2 linked regions of the Drosophila melanogaster genome follow. The protein of the gene in region 1 interacts with the protein of each later gene in a pairwise test. Each region holds a gene or a part of one and is shown on either strand. Other genes may lie near its edges.

Region 1 (4,890 bases):
CCGGCATTTCAATTAACCCAATTAATGGACGGGACCTAATTAAATTTTGAATTCATGTTGCCAGCAAACGCACACTCATCCAGCTGCCTAGTTGCCCCGCACACAGATACGCCGGCACACACACCCTCGCAGGCGAACACACAGACATCAGTCAGCTGTTTTCTGCTGGCCAGCTGTCGTTCGAGTGCGAAGGAGATGGCGCGAAAGCCTCGCAATTCGGGGGTGGTTGGGGTACTGTTGGGGGTGGCAGAGGATGGTGTTGGATGGTAGCAAGGGGGTGGCTCGCTGTAACAAGTATGTACTAATGTCGGCGTCTGGCTAACTGAGACACGGCTATGAATGAGTGCCCCAAACGGAGCAAGCGGGCCACTGAAACTGTAGCTCGATGACCTTGATTATACAACACAGCAGCAGCGCCACCACCCCCCAAACCAGCTCAAACTCTACCAGACCCACAAGCAGCCCTGTTCGCAGCAGGGCCACTCCTTCAAAATACCCTACGTCAAATAAAAATGGCAAAAAAGTAGTCAGAGGCTACAGACACTCGAAAAAATAATAAGGAAATCTAACTAAATTGTACAGTAACACAATATGTTTATGATGTTAAACTTAAAATATTATAAAACTAGATTGTATCTCTATCACATATTCTATATAATTTAGAAATGTGCACATTTAAGTAAAATAATTTACCACCACAACTCATCTTAAACTTCTTCCTGGCCTACAGATAAGCATTCTTCAAAATTGCTTAAACAAGCTTTTCTTCGAGTGCACCCCAAGAGTCGGTGATGGTAACTGGTAACTGACATTACAACAAATCATCGGCCAGCAAATGTTGGCAACTGGGTGCCAAGTCAACGAACTGCTAACCGCAACACAGACACCGACCGCCACCCACTCGAACACATATATAAATTGCCGTACGGGGGCGTCATTAAAATTGCAACAGGGCCTTGAAGGAGCAACAGAGCAACAGGGGGGGAGGGGGTGGAGATTGGAGCGCTCCCCAAAAGACCAGAAGACGAAATCAAAAGATCAATAATTATTATGATGTTGCAGCACACCCGAAACGAGACGCCTTCAGACCGCAGAGCCAAGTCAAGACGGGCAGGTGAGACAAGGGGGGCGGAAAGGGGCGAAAAGGGGAGCCCCAAAAGCGGAGGGGCTACAGCCGAAAAGTTCGACAAGCGCATTACAACAGTTCGGGGGTAGAAAGACAGACGACGGATGAAGAGTGGGGTAGGGTTGGCCAGGGGGGTGCGCTTGCTTACAAGTGCAACCATTTTGTAGTACAAACTTCGAAAACCAAAAGCGAAATTGGCAAAACAAAAGGCCAGCGAAGGGAGCGAGGATGTGGGCCCACCTCCTGACTGCCTCCATTTGTGGATTGTGGATCCCGCAGCCACAGCTGGAGTCGGTCATGCGCACTCCGTCCAACCGATTGGCCCGCTTCGCCGCCATTTAGAAAAGGCCCACCAAGTGGAAGCGAAAGAGATGGGCTTGCTGCCAGAAAAGGACGGAGCGTGAGAGCGCTGCCCGCAGAGCGAGTGCGACAAAAACACCTGTTCCTGTTTCGAACTCCCCCCCCCCTGCAGGCCGTCAGTCCATCGAGTCGGCTATCCGCTATCGGCTATCCGAGAAGTACACGCAGAACTGGCTCGGAACCGGTTGCAGCTGCACCAGTGCCACACCAGTTCCCTACCCTTGCGGAGCGACGAGCTAGTCGCACTGCTCTCGCAGGCAGAATGTATCTGCGAGATACATTTCGGGGTGAGTGGCTGGCTGGCTCGCTAGCTCGCTGGCTCCCTGGCGTGCGGATAACGTACGGCAAACGGAACGAAGCGCCGACCGGTTTAGTCGTTCAGCAGTCTCCGTGCAGTGAGCATGTTTGTGCGCCAGACATCGTCGTTGGTCGGTTGTCGTCATCGCTACTATATAGCCGTCGTATCGCGAACATCGACCGTCTTAGCTCGATAGCCGTCGGATTTGCCTTTTCGGATGCGAGAGACTCTTAAATCCCTCACCATAGATCCAAATCCCTGCGAACAAAACGCGTGTGCGCACACGGATCACACAGCCGTGATAATCCCGCTAAATTCGCCGAAAACCCAGTGCTCTGTGTCCCGGTCTCATATTGAGTAATTCAAGCAAACTTCACGGAATAAGTAAACCAGTACAAGTGCCTTACACAAATATCCCTGCTCAATGCCGGAAACTTCTTGAGTACGGCCCAAAACGAAAAGGCGCCCGCTCTCAAGATTCCCAGCCCACAAATATCTCGAGTGTGCTTCGCCGAGTGTCCTGTCAGCCAAATATATGGTAATGGCAGAGATTGGTGGCCATTTGGCTCACCAGCTACCGTTGCACAATCACAACCACAATCAAACTGGATTACAGCCATCGCTGGTGATGAACCATCACCTGGATTTGGATTGCCATGGACACGATGTGATAAGTGAGTACCGATATTCAAGGGCTGCTGGCTTTCCGATTTCGGGCTATTTGGGCTGCATCCTTGAAAAGGACGATATTTAATACTGGAGATAGCACGATCACTTACCTAGGGACAGTCTTAAAAAAAGAACAATGGAATGCCCTTCCACAGTTTGGATATGAGGCTATTGTATCTTCTAGATACATTTGTTGGTTCTAAGTACTTTCGGTCTGTTTAAGAAGGCATTACAGTTTTTTTCCTTAGTTCCCTTAGATTTAAAATTTGGATTTAAATAAATGTCCTGACAAATAACTTAGAGGCTAATAGGGGTTTAGTCTAAAAAAGCGCTTTGTTGATCCACTGTAAACCAAGATTAAATTGCATTTTAAATCAACCTATTCAGAAATTGTATACCTGCAATTGAAACATCATTACATAGATCACGCATCAGTGTCGAATCATTTGCCGCTAATAAAGCTATTTAAAGCAGTTAATGACTTATTTATGGCTATTGTCCTAGTCCCCAAACAAAAATTGGCAAATTAAATAGTCATTAAACAAGAGCCACTGATGGGTAACTTTCTCGATTCGTAAATATGGAAAATGAACGAGGAAAGCCCGCTTTGGACATTAAAAGCCAATAAAATAAGTAAAAAGCCGTGTTAACAAATGCTCGCACCCAAATCACAGTTGTAAACTTGTCTTGCTTATTTTTGAAACATTTTAATGCCCACCATTTTAAATTCCAGATATCAGAGATCAAGGCTCGGACTCAAAGGTTCCGAGCTTTAAAACCATGAACTGTTAGTCAAGTTTATTTGTAACGAAGGTCGAAGTTATTTTTATACCAAAATCATTAAAAAGTTCAGGCACGCGTTGAACTCTTTCATACCTTGAGTTTTTAATTTTGCCAATGGATGTGATGTGAGCAAGGCTGCGCTAAAGTAATTACAAACAAATTAAAGTGATACCAAGAAAATACGAATCCATAAATAATTTTTATTGTGCCATTCTTTTGTCAAATTGGAGGATCTTTTTTTTTGTATATTGAACGACTTTCTGAGGTTCTATCTTTAGGTTCGGGATTTCTTTCGGGCCACAGTCGTTAGCCGACTTGTCGCTGCAGCTTTTGTAATGGGCTTAGACCCTATCTCGACCTGTCACTTGTTGTTTCAGTACGGCAATAACTGTTAAATTATAGCCGTATTTTATTTTAAGCACACTTTACATATTATATAGAAGCCAATTAACGGTTGAATGACATTTTAATGCTGAGCAATTAAGCGCGCAAGCAAAGCGGGCAAGCAATTGCATGAAAAAAGCTGAAAAGAGCTGGAAATGTATCACAAATGTATCTCATGCGATAATGTGACAAATTTTTAACTAGCCTAAAGTTTGTTAACCAAAATGCATTTTATGAATTCATAAACCAAGAGTGTCATTAAAAAATGCCATCCGTGTGTGACAGAAAGAGGAATATATTTTATTCAAATTTTATTTCGTATGCTAAATTGTGACAAATGTTTTGGCTGACAGTTGTCTAACCAAACGAACGACCGCAGAACACAAAAAAGCCAAACAAAAATTCCGAAAAAAAAAGGAAAACATGAAAAATCATAATCATAAGCACATATACTACATACAATGGGTTCGGGGAAATTGAATTATATATGAGGCTGGAATAATGCAGCACATGCAGTTGTAGCTGCGAATCATTTAAATTGCATTGAATTTTAGTAATTGTAATTTAAATTCAAATTAGTTGTCGGCCATGGAGCGCTGGTAAATATTTAATGTCCGAACATTTTAATTTGAAAACTTTTCACAAAGTTTCCTCCCCATCGCTCTGCTTAGTTGCTCTGTGAGTTAGTTGGCGGCTGACAAAACTTTAAGTTAGAGTTTTCCAGCTTCAAGTTGATATTTGAAATGAAAACAATTTTTGTAGTTTTCGTTTCGTCCCCCCCCCCTCTAGTATCAGCCAGCTCCACTCTCTTTTGTTAGTTCGCTTGGTTCCGAGGCGAGTTTTGTTTGTTTGTTGATTTTTGAGCGCTGTAAACATTTTAATGAGTTTTCCATGTCACAGACCCAGGCCTCCAGTCAACATGTCGTTGGCAACTTCTCAAGTAGTCGTTAAATTAATTAAATATAGTAAAAACAAAAAGAAATCGCCATCTGAAGTATCTGAAGAGCCTTTGTTTACTCTCCGTGCTCTATAGAAAATTATGTAAGTCCGAGATCGCTGCATACATCAGGGCGTTGAACTAGTTTCGGTTTTTCATGTTGGCGGCTGCCATAAAATTGTACCACTTTATGTTGAAGACCATCAAAAATTGACAATTATTTGCGGCCATAAAAGCCAAGCGATTTTTATTTTTATAGTTAACCAATTAGCCAAAAATTTGAATAAAATGCGAAGCGGGGGTGGCACGGATTTTCCCCTTACTCGTCGTACA
Region 2 (4,999 bases), on another chromosome or scaffold:
GATATGTGGATTTTGTATGCGCGGGGCACATCGCAGTGTTTTTTGGTCGGCATTTTGGGCTATACGTTTGTCGGTGTGGGGCAACCTTGAGGCTATTTAAATTACAAATCGACGCCAAATAACACGACAGACAAGAGAAGCATTTCTCAAACTATTTTCATTTTTATTTACTGCCAACTTTTTAGCTCTTCGTTCATTTCGTTTACGGATTCGAATCGCCTGGAAGACTTATGCGAAATAAACGACTTGGAAGTGCTCCGCAAAGTGTTCATTACGAATTGGAATTGTAGGCGAAATGGCGGTGCAAATGGGAATGCTATTGGGGAACGTTTGCGCCACGTTTATCTATTGTTTATAAAAGGTACGCAGCAACCATTCCAAATACTACACTTGGGAAATTTAATTCGATAATTCGACTGGACGCTTTTTGTTAGGTCATACAATTTGTAAATCAGTTCGAACCTGGTTTAAGTCTACGGGTTGTTAAACAACTTAGCTGTTTAAATTTTTTAATTATAGTATTTAACCTAACATAGCGACTAAATAATTCAATCCAATATAAGTTCTTACAATTTTTTATTTGATTTTTTGATTTCAGTGTAAGTGGCCATGATTTATATGTACACAAAAAATTTTAAGAGATCGCTTTGTAGATCTTGAAGGCAATTTATTCTTGATTTAAGACGATATACATTCCCTGAAGTGCACGGATTATTTCTGATTTTATAATGATTGGCATGATATATAGAACACAGTAGATACGATAGACAGACTCTTAATTTAAAAGACTGATTGATTGGCTCAGTGTGATAAACTTGTATTGGGATATGTGTGATTCTCAATTCTAAAAATCGGATAACTTTCAAGATTTATCAAATTTGGCACTCACATTCAGATCCGAAGTCTTTCACAAAGAGTCCGAATCTGGCAGTTATTTTTTTACTTATGTATAATATATCTCCGCACTATCGAGTATCGAGTTTTGACTCACCTGTAAGCGTCATCCAGGGATACCTGGGCAGATCGGCGATACCGGCTCCGCCCGCTCCCCCTGCCCCTGGCATCACGCCGGAGGCGGGCTGTGTGCAGGCATTTCCCAGCGAGTCCACGCCGATCGCGCCGGCACTGGCCGCGGATACCGCGGATGCGGCGGCTGTGGCATGTTGATAGAACTGAGCGAACTGTGCAGATGCCGAGGCAGGTACGCTCATCGACTGGTAGCTGTTCATGACAGTGTCCGTGTACCTGCTGTGGGTGTGGGAGAGAGAAAGTAGCCATTATTGTTGGTGATCCCTGCTCTCATAGTACGTTCCCAACTCCAGCGCCCGTACTAAAGTCAAATGCTAATGAGGTGGCCATTTGCATGCCCCTTTCACCAAACTGCGGTTAGCTCTAATTGCACACTAATCCCGAACACGCCCACGCACAGCAGGGTTCACTGTACATGCACATGGAGTGCCCATACAGTAGTACTAATATGCAAATGGCCGCAGCGGAAGGTCAGCGTGCGTGCGAATCTTGTGGCCGGCGACAAATTGCCAGCGGCCACCACAGGCTGCTCTAATTTTCCGACTTTATGGCCATTCAATATGAATGGCCGGTGGCCGAGAGGAAAATGGACAGAGTCCCAGGATCCGAGACCCGATAATTAGAGCGCATTCGAAACGGATTTGCGGTTTTGCAGTGTTTGCAGATTTTACTGAAGGTCTCGACTGGCATTTCCGCTCGCCAAATTGAGAGCACGCGAAATTAGTTCTTGGAAGAGCTGAGTGTTTCTTTTTTTTTGTATTTTCAACCCCGGAAACATCTTCTTAAAGGTTTTGAAGCCAGGTAAAGCTAATGGTCATACTAAATTTGCATATATTTTAAAATATGATACTGTCTGAGAAGTTCTATCAATGCACTCCAAATATTTGAATATCATATTAGATAGTATAGATCATTTGTCATTGACTTTATATTTGCACTTCCTATTAGGGTCATTTAAGATCATTTTACTACGATTGGACATAAAACCCATCCCGATTTATAAAAATCTGCATTATCCCATACTTAAACAGGGCAATCTATCTTACCTGCACGACTTATCCTCCAGTCCGGTGAAGCCGGCCATTCCGGAGAGCCCTCCATGGCTGCTAGGGTGGTTAGACACGTACGGATACATCTTGCTGGTGGGGATGGCAAACGAGGAGCTAGCCGCAGCGGCGGCGGCGGCTGCAGCAGCAGCGACGGAACTGGCCGCGGATGCGGAGGCGGACGCGGATGCGGACCCGGGAGAGTTGTCGTTGAGGCTGCGGTGTAGCGAGGAGCTACCGGATGCCGAGGGCGATGGGGAGCAGCTGCTGTCGCCCGCTTGAGAATTGCCCGCTGACGGGGGCGTTAGCAACAGTTGCTGGTGGGCGTGTCCGTGCGAGGCAACTGCGGCGGCGGCTAGTTTGCTAATGTGGTGTTGTTGCTGCTGTAGCTGAAGAGCGGCCGAGAGCGAGGAGTATTGGTGGTGGTGTTGCTGCTGCTGGTGGTGCAGATGTTGCTGCTGCTGGTGGTTCAGGTGTTGCTGCTGCACCTGTGGGTGGTGCTGCTGGAAGGGCGACGATGAGGAGACGGGTGAGTGGGGCGATTGGCCCAGATGTTGGCTCAAATGGCTCGGCGATAGGGATCCTCCGCTCAAATTGAGATTACTGTTGTTGTTGCTGCTGCTGCTTGGACTGCTGCTGCTATTGTTGGTGTTGCTTGTGTTGCTTCCAGCGATCGTGTTGCTGCTGTTGTTGTTGCTGCTGCTGCTGGCTGAAACGCTGGCGGATGCAGAGGCGGCGGCGGCGGCTAGGGCGGCGGCAACTGCTGCAGATGACGAATTCGGGGGGGTGGTGGTTAAGTGGTGCGAACTGATAAACGGCTGGAACTGTGGATACTTTGGCAGCATACTATCGAAAACAAATTTTGACATTGCACATATTTTGCTCTCTGGCCGAGGATCGGATCTTCGGAATTTCGTTTAGTCCACTTGTTGTTCTATTTTAGTTTCGGAGATTTCTGAGTTCGAATGATTTGGGTTCTTTATCTGAGTCGTTTGGTTAATGGCTAGATTGAGTATTTCGTTTTATAATTTAAAGTTTCCTCTTTGTGTGACTTTAACAAATTTTGTTTGAATTCAGCGTGGAGAGGAGCGCTTTCTAGCCATAATAAAACAAAAGTTCCGACTACTTCTGTAAGCACAACCTAAATCTTAAACTTGAATGACTTTATAATTCAACACTGTGAGAAATAGCATTTTAAAAATATCTTTTTCTTTAACTTTTTCATAAGATTTACACAGCAATTTAATTTGTATCAATGTCTATTAAAATTTACTTGTCTTTAATGAACATCTCCCGTCTCTGTATTTAACTTTTCTACTTCATAATCGAATGCAAACTACATTGGACTTAGTATATAAATCACTAACAAAATTAATCGAATTAAAAGGTACTAAAAACAAAAATAAACTTGGCGTCCAATGTGATAAACAAGAATTAAAAATGGCAAAACAAAAAATATAACATGTTTATAAAAATTACTCGGAAACCATAAAAAGAACATTAACCAAATTGAATATGTTTGGATTGAACATAAATCTTTCGGGTAGCATGATACAGAACTCAAGTGAAAAAAATATATAATCCAAATGCTTTATATATTTTTCAGCTAGATTTCCCTGCCAGTGCCAACGAGTTAGTATGTGGGTTACTTTTACAGTACTATATGAGATGGCCAACAGTTAGTACTTTTTAGATAGAGTTAGTGAGACAGAATTCGGAAACTTTGCCAGCTGCCCGACTTTAAGCTACTTTTCTCGATTCCGAGAAGTGAAATGCATTTTGTTACCTTTCTCAAGTTTTCTCTAGCGAACTTTTGGCGAGCAGCTTGTATTTGCAGCTTTTCTGTTTCTGTTACTTTTTTCGCTCGAAGCTGGCGAATTCACAACGAAATTTGTTAAATTTGCATATGGTCTCGGGTTGCGTTGTATTTGCAGCTGTGGCACAAGTGTGTGTGTCGCATGTGTGTGTTTGGGGTGTGTGTATCTTTTATTTGTTGTAAAAGCAATTAAAATGCGGTCATCAATTACGCGGAAATTCGAATGGACGTCGTGCCGGCGGGATTTCGTACGTGTGATTTATAGGCGCGCGATCTTTTTTAATGGCACTCTTGTATTTTTATGGCAGAGTGAGTTTCCTGCGGCTTTTAACGACTTCTCAAGTGCGTGAGTGTGTGTGTGGCCGGAGAAATGCTTTCTCCCAACGTTTTGCTTTAATTACTTTGTTTAAAATGTCATAAAACACTTTGCAGGTAGAACTATCGAAGTCTGGAACGGAGAGGCGAGAACCTTTTTACGATGTCAACTTTATGTCTTTTTAATTTTTACGAACCGCACACAGTGAGTTATAAACCATAGTGTTTTGACAGTTTTTTCGGTTTTAAATTTCACACACAATTTTATTATATTTTACGCGATCTATAACATTTAAGTGACAATAAGCCGGCGGCCGAAACGGAACAATAAACACGGCGAATCGGAAACTGAATCGTATTGCCGCACTACAGTCGTATAGTCGTATAATCGTATAATCCGAATCGGAATCGGAGGGCCGAAATTCCAAAGAGTGGAGAGCTGAGTTCCGCAGACACTACTGCGCGCCACGATAATAAATATTATAATAAAACGAAATTTTTAAAAGAGTATAAAAATTTCGTGTAATTGGTAATTCTTGCTGCCAGCGCGGGCAGCGGCGTCGACAGAAACGGCGGCAGAGCGGCAGCGACTGAGGCGCTTTGAGTCGTTGGAGACTTTGAGTTTTGTCTGTCTACGGAGGGGGTTTTCCTTTATATTTTTTGTTTTCTATTTTTTTTTTTTTGGGGAGACCGCTTTACGCGCGAGAAGAGAAGCGAAAGCAAAGCCGCTGCGAAACGTCGAGCGTTGTGGCGTTACGAGCAGCGAAACGTTTATGGCGCAATACAAAAGCCA

Evidence for each region.
Region 2: the proteins of tup (region 1) and abd-A interact in a protein complementation assay, tested with the Drosophila melanogaster proteins (2 studies listed by BioGRID).

Annotation. Positions count from the first base shown.
Region 1 is NT_033779.5:18,878,225-18,883,114, reverse strand, and holds the start of tup (tailup), read left to right. Parts: upstream 1-1,853; 5' UTR 1,854-2,319; coding exon 2,320-2,458; intron 2,459-4,890.
Region 2 is NT_033777.3:16,825,060-16,830,058, forward strand, and holds the start of abd-A (abdominal A), read right to left. Parts: upstream 3,047-4,999; 5' UTR 2,945-3,046; coding exon 2,076-2,944; intron 1,249-2,075; coding exon 992-1,248; intron 1-991. UniProt on the Drosophila melanogaster protein: Sequence-specific transcription factor which is part of a developmental regulatory system that provides cells with specific positional identities on the anterior-posterior axis. Required for segmental identity of the second through eighth abdominal segments.